2 linked regions of the Canis lupus familiaris genome follow. The protein of the gene in region 2 interacts with the protein of the main gene of each other region in a biochemical or structural test. Links are inferred from orthologs where the notes say so. Each region holds a gene or a part of one and is shown on either strand. Other genes may lie near its edges.

The links. The genes of interacting proteins can lie anywhere in the genome.
Region 1: the proteins of CD244 (region 2) and SH2D1A interact in a biophysical measurement, tested with the Homo sapiens proteins (2 studies listed by IntAct). The link is inferred for Canis lupus familiaris from reciprocal best matches to the Homo sapiens genes CD244 and SH2D1A.

Annotation. Positions count from the first base shown.
Region 1 is NC_049260.1:96,514,745-96,524,898, reverse strand, and holds the end of SH2D1A (SH2 domain-containing protein 1A), read right to left. Parts: intron 8,736-10,154; coding exon 8,672-8,735; intron 3,486-8,671; coding exon 3,341-3,485; intron 2,320-3,340; coding exon 2,279-2,319; 3' UTR 622-2,278; downstream 1-621.
Region 2 is NC_049259.1:22,340,248-22,350,878, reverse strand, and holds the end of CD244 (natural killer cell receptor 2B4), read right to left. Parts: coding exon 10,384-10,631; intron 10,297-10,383; coding exon 10,024-10,296; intron 8,671-10,023; coding exon 8,563-8,670; intron 8,126-8,562; coding exon 8,058-8,125; intron 5,919-8,057; coding exon 5,859-5,918; intron 4,162-5,858; coding exon 4,099-4,161; intron 2,734-4,098; coding exon 2,680-2,733; intron 1,324-2,679; coding exon 1,243-1,323; 3' UTR 17-1,242; downstream 1-16. UniProt on the Homo sapiens protein: Heterophilic receptor of the signaling lymphocytic activation molecule (SLAM) family; its ligand is CD48.

The sequences.
Region 1 (10,154 bases), on a different chromosome or scaffold from region 2:
TTAAATCCAGCCCTCCATTTATACTAGAAGTCTCCATCAGAGGCATCCTCTGTAGCCTTATTCTATCTACGTACTACCACGAAGCTTACTTGCTTGTAATAGCCAAACTGAAATTACCTAAGCTTGTCTCCCTTACTGACCTTATCTCTTAAGAACAAACTTCAGAGGAAATGAATGAGTGTTTGACAAACTGTCATGTTCCTGTGGGCTTGCTGACACACTTTTTTTTTCTGAAGAAAGGTGTACACTTGGAAATATACGTGCATTTTTCTATCTTGACTCAGCATCTTACAGGTATGTTAGCATGGCAATATTTTAGATATGGCAAGGATATGACCTTTCTGTAAAGCCGCAAGCTATTATGTACTTGGAAATAGCAAGAATGCTTATGCTGGGAGAGAAAAAGTGAAAAAACTTTATGAGTAAAAGACCAGCAAAAGAAAACAGTGGGCAGACACTTCAACTGGAAAGTTTGATAGTAACAAACTCAGAAAAGCACTTACCTTTTTCAGAGAATGTGTCCGATAAGATACAATGGCCTTCATCAATGCTTTGTTTAATATATTAATAGCACTTAACTCTGAATATTATTTTCAACTATTTTAAGACAAATTCGGTAAATAGAGCTTTCAAATACTTTATTGAAATATGAAAGACCATTAATGATTCAAAAAGCTTTTTCAAAAGAGACTCTGATAAAGAAACATGCATACATAATTCATATATTTAGGATTATTCCAGAACGAACAAGTTAGAGAGAGTGAAAATTAGATACACCTATTAAAATTTAAACCCAAACGACAAATAAGAAAAAATTATCTAAACATATGCATTTTGATTTGAAAGTCGGCTTTCCAAATTCCTTCACAAGTTAAAGTGGTGCTTTTACTTCTAGAAACGGTAAATGGCCCACAATACATTATTATGGCCCGATTCCACCTTTGCACTCTCATTGCGTCCATGTCAAATGCTCAAACACCAAATCTTGCCAGTGCACGGAGAGTAGCTCTGTCTCTTGGCAGCTCATCAAGTCCACCCCCCACTCATGTACAACCCAGAATTCCAATGTATTAGTTTATAATAGAACTTCACATTTTCCTATGGACCATGGACCAGAGTATTTGTCTTGACTCATTCTGCCTCTGACAACAGATCTACCTACACAGCGGAACCTCACATAGACCGTGCTTATCACCTTTTATTGACATCTTTTGGTCTTTCCCTGTTACTTTTTTTTAATTGTTACTGTTTTCTTGTCCAACTAGACAGCAAGCCGCCTGAGCACAGTGGCTGGGTGCATTTATCTCTGTACCCCAGTCCCTATATTGTGTTTGGTGAATAAATTCTAGGAGCCCCAAAATGATACAGAATCAAATCACAAAAGCCATGAAAATATAAATGTGAGAAAAAATATAAATATCTGTCACTGTGTAAAATCTTGACTCTCCCTTAGGTTGCCATCACTTGGAACTGTTAAAAAACAACATAACCATAAGGTTTCCAGTGTTCTTGGGCTACCAAATAGGGAGACCGCTTGCACAGCCGTGGGCAGGAGCTTCCTTTCAAATTAAGGTTTTACATGGAGTACTGACAACTGGGGCAGAGGTAGATGAAAAATCCTATAATATCAAATATACTAGACGTTGAGAACATATTTTAAATGACGGGATTTTTAAATTCCGGATTGGGCTATGGGGTCCTCTATCCGGCATCAGAACACTAGGCGAAAAGGTTGCTTTCAGAATTAAAGAGCAATTCTTCACACTTTATCCAGTACTCTTTTTAACACACAGGGCACAACTCATAAATCCCCGAAGACCCTACACCACCAGAGCTAGTGGAGAGCGTAATACCTAATTAGAACCACACAGGACAAAGACAAGGGACACAAATCGGCTTCCTGCCATCTAACCAAGCAAGACATTTTAAAAGCAGTAGCTGTCAAATAATATTTCACTAAAAATGGTGCTTTTGAGAAAAACTGAGGATTATTTTTATTTATATTTGGCAAGAATTGACATTTATCTTTTATAAAGTATCGTTATGTTTTGAATCAGTTTCCCATTTGAAAATATAACTGAAAATAACCTCATTTCGAAGCTCCTCATTATTGGCAAAGTCCATTTCAGCTTTTACATGATGCTAGATACTTCCATTACAGGACTATGATGGCTTTAGAAATATATTTGCAGCTCACTGAACTGTATTATCTACAATATATAAGACTTAGCATATATTTAAATTATAGAAAATAAAGTACAAAGTATTTGATTTTTCTTCATGGTGCTTTCAGGAAGACATCAGGATCTTCTCTTCTCCCTAAAGAAAAATAATCGTGAAAATCAAGAAAAGATAAACTCACAAGCTATTAAAATTACAGGTTAACTCAAACTTGTAACCATAAAATTTCCCACGGCATAAAGCTCACAAAGATATAACCCAGTGATACAGCTCAAGCAACCAGTACTTAAAACTGAGTTCTAAAGAATAGAACAGTTTGCAATCATAACGTGTAATTTGTAAATTGGAGTTCTATTTACATCTCTATTATAAAGGCTAACTACTCATTAATTTAATTCAGCACTTAAGTCTAATTGTCAATTTATGCCTGAGCCTGGGTCCCTGTCAAAAAAGGACCTGACAGCTCATTTTTCTAATCATAAATATTTATTGTTTCAATCAAGGCATATCCTCTTACTCCAAACAAGTGATTAACCCCTTTCAGTAGATGAATAGACAATCACATATCTGCAGACATTGACCAGTATTCTGTCGTTAGCTTGATCCGTACACTAAAGTACCTTTGCTCAGGAGATGTAACAATATGTGCCTGTAGAATAATAAAGTGTACTAATTTAGTGTCCTCCTCTACAATAAAGTGTCATTAATTCAAGCACCACAAATTCAGAAAGCAGGATCACGTGGACCACGCTAACATTAGCCTTTCCAACCCTGAAGGAGAAAATAGTCTACCAATCACAGGTAAGGGACAGCCCAGGTGTTTTCCAAACTGTCCCGTCTTTCAAATGTTTTGTGCCCAAATTAGTGAAGTGAAATGGTACTTCTGCCTTGACAAAAGGGTCAAGAGAGAACATGACGGGAAAAGAGAGGTTTACATGTTGTGGGCTCATCGAATTTTTTACATTTTCCCGGAGTTTTGTTAAAAGCTTACAGTATAGCATATTGAAATCATAGCCTGTGAAGAGTCCCCTCTTGCTCGCTTGGTTGGCAACACCTACTTCCCCACTGCATGTTTCTAAAGAATTTCCCATAACCATATATTTATGAACAGGTTGACTCATAACCCCGAGCTGCCAAGCAAATCAACGGTAAACCATACCTGGAGTACCTTGTGCACTTCTAACTGAGCACTTCTTCTCAACTGGATACTGCAGAGGTATTACAATACCTTGATCTGGCTTCTGAAATGCTGAAATGAGATTTTTTATTTTCCGGAAAAATCTTTTATGAACCCCAGGTGCTGTCTGGAAAATAAAAGGCCAAGCAAATTATTCACCTATCTCCTAATGACACAAATAGGCCTACAAAATGTGGGAGGGATGCGTAGAGAGGTAACATTTGTGTAACTTGTTCAAATATTTGAAAACATAAGGAAGAAGGAAAAACAACAGTTCTAGAAGAGCTTACTTTGGTTGGCTGAATTTCCCTGCAAGAGGAGCTAATGAGCTGTCATTTCAGTTCTCCCAAGGGTGGTATTAGTTTGTACAAGCTCTTGCTCCTCGCCCTGCCCTTCCTGCCTGCTACCCATCATACATCCTGAGCCTCTGAGGGTATACAGGCCATTACCCACAATGAATGCACCAACAGAGAGAATGCAGTTAAACACAGAAAAAAGCACAGATCATACAGGTCATTAATAAAAAGCCTGAAAAACCAAACCAACAACAACAACAACCCATCCTCCCTGTCATCATTCCACAATAAAAATGCTCCACAGGAAATTAAAAATTGACCGTTACGGGACACACAACATATCGCTAGTTAGTCCCTAGACTCTCACCTCACAATGTGTCCTGCCTCATCCTTCATTAAATTTGTTCCTCCTTGGGACACTTCCCTATCCTCCCCCAAATTGCTCTCTGCCAACACTTCACCGTGACAAGGTTTTCTCTATGACACGAAAATGAAAGACTATATAAGGTCACCTTTATTTATTTGTTTGTTTGCTTTTGAAGAGATCATTATTTGCAAGTGACTATTAAAATGTATTCCTTTCCTGACATCAATTCTCTTGCAAAGGAACTGCTGAAAACGACAATTTCCTGCAAAAGCTTGCGAGCTCAGCTTTAGGCATCAACTCAAAACTGTCATTTTACATAAAATAAAATAGTATTGCTATAAGCAATTGAACAATGACTAGGTTTTTTTTTTTTTTGAAAGCTGTTTTTCAGCTCTTCCATCTGGAAGATTTTTGAGGTGGGAGCTGTTTGTTTGTTAGCAGTTAATGAGAAAACGTGAAGGCTGGCATGCAAACTTTAGCCAACTCGACTAAAAGCTGAAGACAGCATGCGGTCCATAGTAACTTAGTCATTTCCCACACTGGGGCAAGTCATTTTTCTTTGAAAGCACCGAAAAAATTCTTTCTAGCTTTAAATTAGTGCCCACTCATAGGCTCACACAGCTTGGAGCCTCAGTAGATGTAGAACATTCTCTGTCTCAGTGCCACCCCTATAGTCAAAAACACCTTCCCAGAATTTGGGGCACCTGAGTGGCTCAGTCTGTTGAACAGTCGACTCTTGATTTCAGCCCAGCTCACAATCTCGGGGTTGTGGGATCGAGCCCTGCATCGTGCCCCACATCGGGCTCTGTGCTCAGCAGGTAGTCTGCTTCAGATTCTCTCTTTCTCTCTCCCTCTGCCCCTCTCCACCTACACTCTAAAATAAATAAATAAATCTTAAAAAAAAATTTTTTAAGCACCTTTCTAGGACTCAACTTGAGACCTTATCCAAAATACCATGGCTTTTCTTACAGAGCTCCAAACAGTTCATCGGCTTCAAGAGAATCTCTAAATTGCACAGGCAGGTCATAGGCACAAAATGCCTCCTTATATTTTCCTTATGGCACTTTTTCAATTTCTAGATCACAGGACCCAGTCTTTTGTCTTTCAGGCCAATATCCACAATGAATTCACCAACAGAGAGGATAAGACCAAACAGCTTCTAGAGAAGTTAGAGTCACCAACCAGAAGAGAAACTGCTCACTCCCCCAGTGTGGAAAGATTTCAAACCACACATCTTTTTAGCTGTTCTTGTGGCTTATAAAACCATTTATCAACAGAAGCATCTTTTTTATGGGGACTTATATGCAGTTAACACTTGATTATCCACACAAACAGAAGGAATAATAGCACTAGATGTACAATTTGAATTTGGGATATAATGTTTCACTGGCAAATGACTATCCTAATTTATAGAGTTTTCCTTAGATTAGTAAGTAAAATTATTTAGCATCTACCGATGATCAAACATCCAGAAAAGCCCAAAGGCACTGAAGTCAATAAGGGGAGGTTAGTACATTTTCTTTACAATACACTGATGACAATGCACATATTAGTAAAGGATAGTTGATTGGGTGTAAAATTCTCTAAATTAACAATTTAGCAAAATTCTACTGAGTCACAGGAGATAAGTTAATACACTAGGCAATGATAAAACCTAAAAGTCTATCTAAAAGTAGAAATTCACATGGGGGTGCCTGGGTGGCTCAGTCTGTTACATGCCTGCCTTCCGCCCAGGTCATGATCCGGGGGTGCTGGGATCTAGTCCCATGTTGGGCTCTCTGCTCAGCAGGGAGCTTGCTTCTCCCTCTCCCTCTGCCTGCCACTCCCCCTGCCTGTACTCTTTTACTATCTCTTTGTCAAATAAATAAAATCCTTTTTTTAGTGTAGAAATTCATATAATATTTGTCTTTCATAATTTGGTGGATCCAGCGTTCAAATTTCATTCCACTTTTTGAAACAAATCTCAGATATACTTAGATTTCTAGCACAATCTTTGCACAGAGGATAGAATGTTACTGCCATGACTTTTCCTGCAGGGTGGCAAACTAAAGCATTGTTCCAAAAGGCAGTATAAATATCTGTCATTTAACCAGTTTTGAGAATATATTTACCACAAGAATTATACCACTGACAACTCCCGTTCTGCTACTGAACTCAGCTATTGTTCATATTTGCACATTTCTCATACCGCCATCTCTTAGTTATCCATGGAAACATGTTTTGGATCACAGCTGGTCTTCAATATGCTCTAGAGAAATTTCTTACTGTCAGGTGATATGAGCTCTGAGAACACACACTAGTTTAATATTCCCTTAGCAAAAACATAACTAAGAAAGCAAATTTAGTAGATAGAAAAAATGCAATATGCATTACAAAAATAAATATAAAGCATTTTTTAAAAAACTGTTTTCCCTTTGGAGAAAACATGCCAATCTTCTGCTCTCTTGGTGCAGATAATTACAATATCATTATATAAACGGGGTCGGACCAGACAACAGGATGAAAGGACATTTATGTTCAATAAGCCCTTTCTTCCTTAACATGATCACAATCATGTAACAATCTGCATATGATGTTATACTTGAACTAGAAGAAAACAAATTTAAAGACAAGATTAGCTAAACCCTAATAATTTAAGACATTTTCCATAAAGAATACTCTTTAGCAGCTTAAGGCTACTTCTCTGGGGAGAAGGGCTATTTCTAATCAAACTATATACAAATATAGATGTCTATATCACACATAGCTATTCTTCATAATAAATGAAATTTAATTTCTTATTCAATCATCTCTGCAGTGCTGCAGAGAATTTTAAAATATAAATGGGTAAAAGTCATTTTGATTAGATGTGTTACTGCTTTGCCTCTAATTAGTATTACAGTATTAATTATCTGTGATGATTATAAATTATTATTATTACTTATTTATTTATTTATTTATTATATAAAGCGACAACGTGTTTTAAAACATGCCCTAATTCATCTCTGTAGTTCAAAACATTTGTAGTCTACGACTTGGGCTTTCTAATTTACTGATGAATTTGTAAAGGTTAGAGCTATTTTAATTTTTTTGAAGTCTAGACTTTAGAATTTCTTAAACTCATAGATTGAGTTATTAACAGAGGTTGCTATTTGCATTTATGTTTTCAAACAACTCATAACGAAGTGCTTTCATTACAAAGACAGGCTGTTTCTTTCTCAGAAATCAAAGAAAGAATTTGAGGTCAAAATTTCAGTTGTAGAGACCTGTACATCGGTAAGATGCGATATACTACCTTGTTACATGGAAATAGATTCACTCTGCAGGCATTACGTGCAATGGCATAGTGACTCTCAAATGTTTTCAAAGCCATCAGAACCCATTTTTCTAACGAAATCTTATTTGAGCCCCAGTTGATAAGCAAAAGTGAATCTCTCAGATCAAAGATGAATTGGGGACCCAAAAGCATACCCACTTTTGTCCTCCTCTCCCTCTGTGCACCACCTCTAGCAACCCCAAGGCACCCAGGTAGAAGAACCTTAGGATTTTGCAGAGCATACCTTCAAAACCACTGTAATGTTTCCTCTAATTTTATCTGCCTACCCATGTGCTTTCCACATGGCCCAGCTGGGAGTCTTGCCTCCACACAAAGAGCAATCTTGATTACTAATATTTGGAAAATCCTCCCTTCTTTGAACTCCTATGCTAGATAACATAGCATAACATTGTTATGCTAGACAATAATCATGTTGTCCAGAGTCTGGGTGAGTTCACATTTTTGAGGGCTTACTATGTACCAGGTCTTGTGGCTAAGAGCTTTCTTTTATATGCATTATCTTATTTAACCTCCAAAATGAGCCCTATGGGGCACTTGGGTGGCTCAGTTGGTTAAGCATCTGCCTTCGGCTCAGGTCATGATTCTGGGGTCCTGGGATCCAGGCCCGAATTGGGCTTCCTGCTCAGCAAGGAGCTTGCTTCTTGCTCTTCCTCTCCCTCTGCCTGACGCTCCCCCCACTTGTGCTCTCTCTCTCTCTCTCTCTGTCAAATAAGTAAATAAAATATTTTTTAAAATGAGCCCTATGAGTGAAGAACTATTTTTAGGCTTATTTTACAGATGAAGAAATTTGTTCAAAGTTAAGTAACCTGCCCAAGGTTATAGACCTGTCAGGGAGGAGGAGGTATCATACCTGGAATCCAGATCTACGTGAGGACAAACTCAGCTCTCACATCACTGTTTAATTCATGTTGTATCTCCCTGAGAGTATTATAGGCTCTTAGAAAACAGGAGTCATGTTGTTTAATCCACCATAGAACCAACGCTCATATTGGTATCATCTGGTAAATAATTGCTTATTTAACCATTTTACACATTTTGTATACGCTTTCTAAAATTTTGCATAGGCACTAAAAGTCTGACACAATCCTTCAACTTTTGTATATTTCGCCCAAAGTGAGACCGTTCTATACAATGGTGGCTGAACAGAACTGGAACAAAAATCCTCTAAAGCCTTCTTAATGATCCATGAACAATTTTGGGTCGGAGCTTCAGTGATTTGAATTTGATGAATATTTGGGGAATGTAGGATTTGACAACTCTTTTATAAAACCAACTTAAACTTCAAACACCTTCCCATTTCCCCCAGAAACAAAAAATAAATAAAAGAGCTGTACCTCAGCACTCCAAGAACCTGTTTCTGTCTGGGACACTCTGTATGTATAAATATAACCTTGATACCTGTGAAAGAAGAAACTTCCATTACTGAAAAATTCCAAAAGAATAACAGCTGCTCTAAATTTGAGCTTAACTATTCCACATAAATGTTACATATATTGGGACACACATATATGGCACCATTGCATTCATAGGAAGAAACTCTTGGGGGATCTAACTTGCTTGCATATTATTATCTGGGTAATCCCAATTTTTAGAGAGTGTTCTTTATCTTTTCCCTTTTTTAAAATAAGAGAACTCACACTCCTAAGGGTTTGTCTAGTTGAGAGACTGGACAGAAAGAAAATAGAGACCTGTTATAATTGGTAAAAATCATGGATTATTGAATAGATTGAACAAAGTGTAGTCATGTTACTTTTAAGTACATATAGAGCTTTAAGCTGAAAAATATTTCACTGGGATAAGGTACTATCAGGTGCACTTCATAGTAGTAATAATATTAATTAAAAATATAATAAAAATAATACTATGTTTCTATAACACAACTATTATGGTTACTTTACAGTATAATATAGTAAGAAAACAAATTTGAATTAAAAAAAGACTCCTGAGGCACCTGGGTGGCTCAGTCAGTTAAACATCCAACTCTTGGTTTCAGTTCAAGTTATGATCTTGGGATCATGGGATGGAGTCTTCTGTCTGGCCTTGCACTCAGGACAGTCTGCTTGTCCCTCTCCCTCTGCCGCTCCCCCCACACCCCCGCCACCCACCACTTGCTCTCTCCATCTCTCCCTCTTGCTCTCTCAAAAATAAATAAATAAAATATTTTTAAAAAAACTCCTGCTAAAGTACTTGAAAGCAGCTTGTCCTTTGGGGTAAACATTCGCCACCATTGTTTTATGTGCAAGCATACTGTCTAACTGTATAATTGATACCAAGAGTTTCATTTTAAAAATTTTTAAATACTTTATTTATTTACTCATGAGAGACACAGAGAGAGAGAGAGAGAGGCAGAGACACAGGCAGAGGGAGAAGCAGGCTCCACGCAGGGAGCCCAATGCAGGACTCGATCCAGGGACTCCAGGGTGGATCACGCCCTGCGCCAAAGGCACATGCCAAACCACTGAGCCACCCAGGGATCCCGATACCAAGAGTTTTATATGCTGTATTAGTTTGCTTTGGCTCCCATAGCAAAATACCATAAAAAATTAAATAACACTTAAACAAAATAAATTTATTTTCTCACAGTTCCGGAGGCTAGAAGTCCAAGATCAGGATGTTAGTAACATAGCTTTCATTCTGAGACCTCTTCTCTTGACTTGTATGCAGCCACCTTCTTGCTGTGTGCTCACATGAGCTTTTCCTTGTGTGTGCATGGAGAGAGACATCTCTCTCTTCTTCTTATAAGGCTACCAATCCTATTGGATTAGAGCCCCATGCTTATGGTCTCATTTAAATTTAACTAGATACCAAAGGCCTATG
Region 2 (10,631 bases):
CCAGACCTCTCTCCAGTAGGTTAAAGACATGGGTTTATTGATGGGCACAAGTGCCCTTCGGTTACTACAGAGAGGTAAAGTAAAGAATATGGAAGGGGCACATAAATTTAACTCAGAAAAGAAATTTCAATTGCCTTTGAATAACCATTTTATATTAGTTTTATATTAAACTCCTATGTTAAATACAGAGTGGGGCAATTGAAGAAGCAGGCTCCATGCAATAGCCACTGCTCGGGGTCTCTGAGTAGGACCTCTTCCAGTTCACACTCATCGCCTTCCTGGGCCCAGCCAGAGTCTCAGCCCCGGTCACCACAGCCTTGCAGAAGTCTGGCCTGAGGACTCAGGGGAGCCCAGCAGACTGTCTAGTTCCCAGCTGCTCAGCCAGCTGAGCCCTTCCTCCAGCATATGCCATGGGGAGCACTCATCAGGGCTTAGAACTTAAATAGAATATGGTTTCTAATTGTGAAGAATTTGCGAAGAAGCTAAAATAGATTTCTAACGATGAGTTCTTGTAAATCAAACCTCATACCGGAGACAAAGCTGGTCTCACTGTCCCATTATCAGGACGGCATGGGCTCGGGGTGATTTTTCCATTCAGAGGTCAGCTTGCTTTGCGCCATCTACTCTCACTCCTGCCCACTCTCCGCTGTGACCAAGTGGCCAGAGGTAAAGGTTTAATATGTGGGGGGAAGTTTTTCCCCTATATTTGAGTAAAACCCCAGCCTCCTCCATGGAGAACTGCCAGCAGCTTGTAGCTAGTTAGTCCATCCTCACAGAGGGGAGCTGTTTCTCTTGCTCTGAGTCACCATTATCTTTCCTCCCTCTTTGGAAGATGGGCCTGGGCAAGGGGAGGGTCTAGAAATATGGTCATTCCAGATTAGAGAGGAGGAAAGATGAGTAACACGTTAGAAAACCAGGGGAAGGGATCTTGATGCTAATAATAACAGCACCCTGCATTTGCATAGCACTTGATAAACTTGCTGTGCGGCTTTGGATTTGCTTTGCGGTCTTTTAAGAACTACCCAACCTGTCTACCCGTTCTTGTCCAGTCTGTAAGTTGAGAGATATTATTTAACAGTCCTGCTCTTATTAGAAATCACTTTCAAAACAAGATACAGACTATAAACAAACTCCCGTATCCTCTCTGGACTGCGCCCCATTCTGTAGACTCCTGTGGTATCATCCATTGCGCTGATTCCCCCAAGCAATGCTGGGATGTGAGAGAGGGAACAGCTGCAGCAATTAGGAATATATGCGAAAGTTCTCCAGCTCCTTGCGGCTCAACCGGGCAGGGTTCTGGGCGTTGAGTTGTCTCTTTCCAACCTGTGAAAGAAAAGGAGAACTTCAGAACCTCCCACTTGGAGATCTTCATAGCAACCTTGGGAGGTATGAATTATTATCCCTATTTTACAGATAAAGAAAATGAAGCTTGGAGTAGTTAAATAAATAACAGGGTCAATGACTAGTAGGAAGTAAAGGAGGAGCTTGAAGCCAGGTCTTCTGGCTCCAATTCTAGTGTTTTTTTTTTAACATGACCCTGCCTAGATTGCGTTGGCCCACGCGGTGTCCTCTACAACCGTAGTCTGTCTGGTTGGCTTTAATGTGAGGCTACAGCTGAAGTGCCAGGAATCCCAGCAGGCACCCATCCACCCTGTCCCTTGTGACCACTGGCAGCCTCTTTATTGGGCCTTGGAAACTCTGGTGTATCATGAGGCTAGTGGGTGGGAGTGCCCTCCATGCCCTAATTTCTCTGGTAAAAGTGGGAAGTATTATACCTACCTCATGGCACTCTATGAGAATTAAATGAGATAATTCGCATGAAGCCACTAGCAGGCTGCCAAATACATAATACGCCCCTAATAACTGTTGAGTCCCTATTTTCCATTACTTAAATGGCCTGATGGGAATATATTCAGCTACCAGGCTCAATGGTCACTCTATAGTGTCTATCCCAGCAGCAGCTCAAGATTACCTATGCCCTAGAATGGTTCCCAATTACTTGCTAACTTCAGAAAATCATTTAGCTCTACTTACCCTCCCTTCTCTTCACCCTTGCCCCATACACCCTTGGAAGGGACAGATGTCCAGTGTACAGCCCACAACTGGAGACTAGCTGGAGGACAGCCCTAATTTAAAACACAAGCTCCCCACTGGGTATAATGTAAGACTAATGAATCACTGACCTCTACCTCTGAAACTAACAATACATTATATGTTCATTAATAGAATTTAAATAACAAATAAATAAATAAAAATCTTTAAAATGGAGATAATAAAACAACAAAAATACATTTAAAAAATAAAACTCAAGTTCCCCATTAAGAGTCCAACCCTAATACATGATATGACCTTGAATTAGACCCTTGCTTTCGTTGGACCTCAGTTTCTTTATCTTTAAAATGAAAATGTGGGTAAGAAGATCCCTCGGGGATGCCTGGGTGGCTCAGTCAGTTAAGAACCTGCCTTTGGCTCAGGTCATGATCTCATCAGGGTCCTGGGATTGAGCCTCACATTGGGCTCCATGCTCAGCAGGGAGCCTGCTTCCTTTTATTCCAAAATAAAACAATTTATTTTGTTGTTTTTCTGCTCATGCACGCGCTCTCTCTCTCTCTCTCTTTCTAATGAATAAATAAATATATTATCTTTAAAAAAAAAAAGAAGGCAGCTCCAGAATCTTACCTCTTCATAGATAGTATGACTGAAGGAAGAGCTCTGGTTCTTCTTAGATTCAGACTGCAAATTCAGACAGTAAAGAGTGCTTAACTTCAAGTTGGGAAATATCCCACTCCTAACTGATGTGAGAGGCCCCCGAAGAGACACAAGGTCCAAAAAAATCTCTGGATATTTTAGAATAGAATAGAATAGAATCTCCTGCCCCAAGAGTAAGTAATGGAGTTTATGACCTCCAGAGAAGACACAAGACATACTTGTGTGTGACATGAACCTTCTGAACCAAAGTCAGAGGTTACTCTCCCATATCCACGTGCCCCTCAGATCCGCACATGCACACATTCCCAGCACACACACAAGCATACTCACACACACGCCTTCAGACAGGCCTGATACAAATACTGCTCAGACCATGCATCTCATCAACACAGAGCATACACACACACCCCTAGTGTAAGCAGTTCTGGACACACATAAGAACTGACCCTACCACATACCCTGACCACGGTGAAACCCTAGGAACATTGGAATTCAGAAGCACTTTCAGTAGAATGTAGAATCTCCTAAACAACACCAAGCCTGTGACCATCCCTATGGCCACGTATTGCAGCAGGTAACTTAATTATAAATGTCTCTCATGGCAGAATCTTGAGCGATTGAATAACTTATTGAAAGGAGGGTGAATAAAAAGTCTGAAAAATCTGTCTTAAATCTCTCCCACATTTGACCCTGACCTGCATGTACTCAACACTTCCACAGTTTGGCATATTCCTAACTTCTCATACTACCATGTTAAGTCTAGGTCTTCATACTATGACTCCAGCCTTGGTAATACCATTCTTCCAATCCCTCTCCCACCCAAGGGGAAAAGATGACTAATGAGCACCAGGTACACAAAAGACCTGTGAGCTCAGCTCAGAGCAGGATTTGAGGGGACAGTGATGGGTTGCCTCAGCCCCAAGGCCCCCACCAGCAGATGACTGGTCAGAACATTTCTCTGGTTCCCTGAAAGTCAACATTGTGTCTCTCTAGGTCTGGGCTACTCCTCTGGCTCTGGGCTATATTCCCCCACCTTGGAAACCCCTCTAGTATCTCTTGCCGTCACCTCAGTTGGCCTGCTAAGGACAGCTTAGCCTCTCTGCACAAAGCACCACTTTTCTATCTCTGATTGTTCTTGTCCCACAGAAACTCCTAGAGACTCCTTTAATCCACTGCTGGCTTAGTCTCAGAGCTGTTCTTTTTCTCCAAACGCAATCAGAAAGGCATTTCTTCCTCATTTAAATAGAGCCATTTAACCCAAACTGCTTAGATATACACAACGGAAGGCAACTCACGGAAGTTGCCCACGCACTCTGCAAATGTGGCCCTCCCGTGCACGTGCAAAATCCACATTTGCATTCGCAGCATGCCCTGGAGGAGGAGACTCACCTTCCGGGAAGGCTGTACCAATGCATACAACGTATTGTTTTCTTGTGATGTAGGAGCAGAAGACTAAAGAGAAGAGAAATAAAGTATTTCAGGAACATAGACCCAGCAGCATCCTAGGGCCCTCAGAGGCCATTTCTTCCACCCCTCCCCCCAGCCCTGCCCAAAGAGAAGCCCGAAGTATTAGCCACAGGAACCCTGGACTCAGGAGGTCAGACACCTGAATGCCAGTCCGGCCCTGTCCGCTAAGATGTCACCTAGTCTGTACACGCATTCTCCTCTAACCTTGATAACACACCGACGAGAGGAATGATCATCCTTGGCCCCACTCCACAGATGAGGCTCCGAAAGGATAAATAACCCAAGTCAGATGGTGTAGTCACAGTAGAAGCAGAATTGAAACCCCAGACTCGCCAGAGGTGTTTCCTCAACACCTTAGTACATCCTGTTGGCAACATGCCTTCCTTCTCTGCACCTGAGCCAGGTGTCCTCAAAGGCAGGTAACCACCCTCCTTCTAAGAAGGTCCAGAGGAGGAGGCTCCTTATCACTCAGCATCTCAGGCTGAGATGAGCTCTTCCCTGCATTTATTCAGATTCCTCCTGTTGGGATGCAATGTGGCTAAAGCTAGAAAACTGGCAGATATCAGCCACTCCTGCTCTCTCCCTAAGGCTCTTGAGCTTTGACCCCACTATCAGTAAATCTCAATATCACGGGGAGCAGAAGGAGTCAGTCCCCAACTTGGGAATTCCTGAGTGGCTGTGAGGGTTGAGCACCTCCCTCCCTCCTCTGCTCCTTCTTCCTCAGCTCCTCTTCCCTTCATTGCCCTCCCTTCCCCCTCTCCTCTTCCTCCTTCTCTAGATCATTCCCTGAAACCTATCACCATTTCCCCAGGAATTTTCTTTGCCGGGCAGTTTAGCCACCACGTTGAAGAGTTTACTGCGTCCGGACTGAATTCTTTAAGAAATAAGTTATATTTATCAGAAATTGTTCATCACTGGCCACCAAGAGGCAGCGTTCCCCTCGAGAGAGATGCCCCAGTCTGGGTTAGCGATAATGTTATTTTAGCTGTCAAAATTAGAGGATGCTTCTCCAGTTTATGGTGAATTTCTATAATCCCTGAAAGTGAAAGAGGAAGGGGGCAGGTGGGGCGGAGGCCCAGAAGCCCTCTAGCTCAGCTTTGCCACTCCCCGGCTCTGCGGCCTGGAGCACATTAGTTAACCTGTGTCTGGCTCCTCATCTGAGAAATGGAGGTTGTGCTGGACCTACTTCGTGAGGCTGTTATGTGAGATTCGTTAGGAAAACAGACATAGTAAGTACCTAATAAATGTTATTGTTAAGTCATGAAAAATAAAAGAGAACAACCCAGATACCCTCTTTCCTGAAAACAGGTATAATGAGGAGCAGAGATCAAAAAAACAAAGACAACCTATAAGGGCCCCAAGTATTGGAAGTGGCAGGGAGGGAAAAACAGAAGCTGAGTCCCCTGCCAAGTTTCCTCCTCCTCCCAACTACCTGGGCCACACCTGCTGCCACGCACGGAGGGAGAGAGAAGGCCTATCTACGTCAGACTTCCCAGCCCTGTTCAGCTCTGCCAAGAGACTCCAGAGCCACACAGATCTTTTCAATTTAATGCAGCTGAGGCCAAGCTGTCCTCTAGACTCTAAGAGCCCCAGAGTCCTGCTATTCAGGAGTGTGAGCTTCCGGAAGGCCTCAGGGAGCCCTGGAGGCAGGTATGGGATGGATCCGAGACACGGAGTGGTACCTGGGACTGGATCACAGAGTAGATGGTGCTCCCTTCCCCGGGCGGATTCTGGTTCTGCTCCTGCACAAGAAATAGTAAAGGGCCACGTGGTAACGTGAGCGGAGGGCCGCGTCTGTCCAGATTTGGATGGGGTGGGGAGAGAGAGAGCAAACCAGAGGGGCTCCGGGAAGCTGGAAGGGAGGTGGTCATTAGTTGCCACAGGCTGGGGAGAGACCATAGGAGGAATGACCCACCTGCAGTAGTTAGTGTCCCACCTGGAGTAGTTGGTGTCCCACCCAAGGAACCACCCAGGTGTGAAGAGATGCACTGAGTGACCCGTCCAAGGGGAATCCTATCACTTGCTTTACTTTGGTAATTTAGAAACTTGCCTCTGCTGACTTCGCAGCCAAATTGGCCTCATTAATCACTGATAATGGGCCGAGCTCTGAGTAGGGCTGTGATCTGAGCCTTACCTCGGGCCTTGAAATTCAGAAGCTTTCATTGTTTTAAAGCCCCTTCTCTAGGCCCGGCCTTGGGGGCCAGTTTGCCCTGGGCCTCAGGCCTGCTGCCCCACAACAACCCCTGGACCTGGAGCCAAAGGCAGGGAGACCATCCCGGTCCTGGCCCCTCCTGACCACAGGAGCCCTGAGTGCACATTGCCAGGTGGGGCTCCGAAGGGGACAAGAGGAAGCCAGCAGGGTCCATTAGACAGGGAAGGAGCTAGAGGAGCAGAGAAAACCTCACTATCCTTAGAGGCTAGAAAGTCATAGACATCTGGGGGAAAAAAAAAAAAAAAAAAAAAAAACAGGATTTTCCTGCTTTGCTTCTCTGCCCAGACCTGAGTGAAGTGTCTCCAGAGAGGTCAGAACTGAGCCCCCAGTAAGAACACATGAACTCGAGATCTAAGCCTTCAGACGCAACCCTGGAGCCGGTAGGGAGGAGCCCGCAAGGGATGAGGCCGCGCAGGAGGAGCTGGAGTCAGAGGCAGAGACAGGCCTGCATCCCCGAGTCCTTGTACTCTGGCTCCCTCCACTAGTCTTCACTTCCTGAACCTAAAACCGTCCTCCCTGTGTGGGAGGAGAGGCAAGTCATCCGGAGCATTCGGGCTTCCGCCGCTGCAGGTGGATGCTCTTGCTCTCAGGAGTCTGTCCGCATCGGGTAGTGATGGAGAAAGGGTCTCCTTCGCCTGTCACCCCCGTAGTCCACCCCCCACCCCCCCCACCCTACCCCCCCACCCCAGCCGGGTTCCCCCTGAGACCAGACCCGAGGAAGCAGCTTGTCCGCTCCACCAGGCCTCCCACGTGATAAGGTGGCAAATCTCGCCCCTGTGACTTCCTGCCTCACCTCCTCAGGTCGAGCACCCAGAATGGAGGTGGGAAGGGGCCCGTGGGCCCACGCCCCCCACTCCACGTTCAGCTAGGCTCTGCACCCCCCACGCCTGGACCACTTCCTGCCCTGCTCAGCCAGAGCAGCAGGGGGCACTCTGCAGCCCCCACCCCGCAGCCCCCACCCTGCAGCCCCCACCCCGCAGCCCCCCCTGCAGCCCCCTGCAGCCCCCCCCCCCCGCACCCTCCCAGCAGCCCCCTCGCAGCCCCCCCTGCAGGCCCCTGCAGCCGCCCCCCTGCAGCCCGCCCCCCCCCCCCCCGCAGCCACCCCTGCAGCCACCCCCCACCCCCAGAAGAGTTGGCCTCGCAGAGGCCGGAGCCTTGTGCTGACCCGCCTGCTGCCTCGAGCACCCCGGGGGACCCCGGCCTGGGGGGAGCACCCCGCGGACCCCCAGAGCCCCAGCACCCCCATGCCGCTCAGGCGGCCGTCTGCTGCAGCCAGGGCGACCAGCAAGGGACCCCTAAAGGTGAACCTGGACCTGCAAGGACACGAGAGGCCGTGGCCAGATACAAGGGAGCCGGACTGGGGGCCTAGTGCGCCGGTGAGCCTGGCAGGGACGGTGCCCCGAGGGCTGCGCAGGGAGCGGGAGCAGCAACCCCCCCCCCCCCGCCCCGCCCCCGCCGCCCCGTGGGGGTGCTGGGCTCCCGCCCTCTCAGCAATTTCCCGCTTGCTGCTGCTCCTCCACCGCCGGAGCCAGGAGGCCATAGGGAGGGCAGGCCGGGGCTGGGGAGCCCTTTGAGAAGCCACCTGCGTGGTACCCGGTGTCCCCCGGTTCCTGCCCGCCGCCCGAGAAGCACCCCCAGGCTAGGAGACCGACCCCAGCCCCCGGCCTACTTGATTCCTCCCCATCTGCACGTGGTTGACATCTTCATAAACCGTCAGAGGCTCTCCCCGGCAGGCCGCTGTGGGAGGAAAGCAGCAAAGACAGAGCTGGAGAGACTTCCAGAGGGTATCCCATCCAGGCTTCTGCTTCCTCCAGTCCCACCTCCGTCCCAGGTGGCCGAGACCTTGAGGAAGGTTCTAGAAAGGAGGCAGATTAGCGCTCTCCCCAGGGTACCCACAGGGCGCGGGAGCAGCAACCACCCGACACACTGCACCGGGCAGGCAGGTCCCCCACAACCCAGCACCTGCAGCTAAACTGGCCCGTGAGGCTGTGGACATCCCGAGGGCCCCGAAGGTGTGACGTGGGAGCCAGGGCCCAGCATCTGCTGCTGCGGGTCCCCGAACATGCACAGCCATGTCCCAACGCTCCAGAGGCAAAGCAGGTGCTGTGCTCTCAGGCGCACGGCCCCGGGGGCGTCAGGTCAGCAGCAGCACCTCCTGGGGACCCTCCACTTACCTGACTGCCGCTTCTTCCTCCTCCACACACAGAAGCAGGTGAGGGTGACCAGGAACAGTATGAGTAGACAAATGCCGACGATCACCAGAAAGTACACGAAGTTGTCTTCTAGGGACCGGAAAGCACGAGGCCCGAGCTGTCAGCCCGCCTCCCTGCTTCGCACCTGTGCGAACCTGCACTCCCCTCTCACGCCCCACAAATTCACCATCAGGCCAGCTCTCTCTGCAGTTGAGTGACCTCCCCTGAGTGATGCTAAGAGCACGGATCTTAATATCTGGCAGGCCTGGCTCTGTGCCCTTGGGCAACTTCCTTAACCTCTCTGAGCCTCCGTTTTCTCACTTCTAAAAGGAGATGATGTTATCTGCACAAGGGGGTTGATTGTATGACTTAATATATGTAAAGCATCTGGCACAGCAAATGTGACAACTGTCCATCCTTTTAACTCACCAAAACCTATTGCACCCCACTCTGTGCCAGGCAAGCCCCCACTTTCCCCTTCCTGCCACTCCTCTGCTCTTCCTCATTTGAACTTCTACATTTAATATCTGTGTCACACATGTGGTCGTAGGAGCCCACGGACCAGGGAGAAGGGAAAGGAATTACGTGTTCCGAGTGCTAGCTGAGGCTCTTCACAAACAGAACCTCATCTAATCTTACCAGCAATCCTGGGAGGTACCTATTATCACTCCCATTTTACCCAAGAGAAAAATTGAGGCCCAGAGAGGGTAAGGAATGTGCCTGAGATGGCAGAGCTAGTGAATAACGAAACCATAGCTGACATGACCCAAAAGCCAGCGATCCTTGTCCCTCCAAATCGCTTCAGCTTGGTTCTCTTTTGCCCAGGAATGTCTGGTTTTGTCACCCCTATTTAACTGTAAGTTCCTTAAAGACAGGGACAGCAAGTAGGTTTTTCCCTGTAATGCCTATGCTGACACGTTAAGTATTTATCTCATAAAAATTGGTGCAAACTTAACTCGAGATAAGTCTTAGGATGAGCATAAGCAATAAATCAAGAAGTCTTCCAGAAACCCCTGTGATCATCCTGATGTTCCCACGACCCAGGGCACTGTTGTACACCATAGTTACCCCTTGGGGAACTACGTGGCTTGGGGGAGTTGTCCCTCTAGGAGGAGGAAGCAGGTCTCCAGCAGTCTCTCAGAGGAAGGAAGTGATGATGGTCAGTAGCCATGGCAGGGCTGTGACCCACCCACCAAATAACTAAGCCTTCCCTCCATGAAGAAAGACTCGCATCTCCTAGGAGATTCTTGATGGGGATAAAATTCTTCCCAGACTAAGACAGGCCTGGTTTATGGGAACCTTGTGCCCAGAGACCAGAACCACCCCAGGGAGGGGCGGCAAGGCCCTTGAGGAGGCAGCCAAGAGATCTTATACCCAAGTATCTCCTGAGCCTGATTATGGGGTCCAACACCTTCAACCCTATTAGTCCAGTGTCCCACTTACGCTTGCTGGCAGTCGGACAGCCCTGGGTGAGTCTGAGGGTGTGGTTTGCCGAGCTGACTGGATTGCTGACGTTGCAGGTATATATGTATGAGTCATTGACAACCTGCTCTTCTGATCTGGTGAGATTCATTTCTGTCTGGATCAGCTCACTCCCTCTATACCAAGCATAGCTCACGTTACCACTGCTCGAGACCGAGCAGGACAGAAACAGTTGACATGTATCTCCTTCCAGGACCCTCCACTCCTTCAGTATTTGGGGCATCTCTATATGATCTGGAAGCAGAGATTCTGATCAGAAAGGTGCTGGAGTAAGAGCCCTACAGGAGGCAGGGGGCAGGCTGAGCTGTCCTAGGGACTCACCAAATATAGAAACCTGGAAGTAGTGATTATCCACCTTCCCATTCTCATCAGTCACCTCCAGGTTGTAGCAGCCACTGTGGTTCAGCCGAACTGCCTTGATGAGAAGCGCTAAGTTCTCGGTTGTAAAACTGAGTTTACTGTCGAAATGATTACTAGTCTGCGGTACGTATTTGACATCAGACCCATTCTTCCAAGTCAGTATCACGGAAAATTCCGAAGCTAAGTACCACTTCACCTTCCATTGAGCA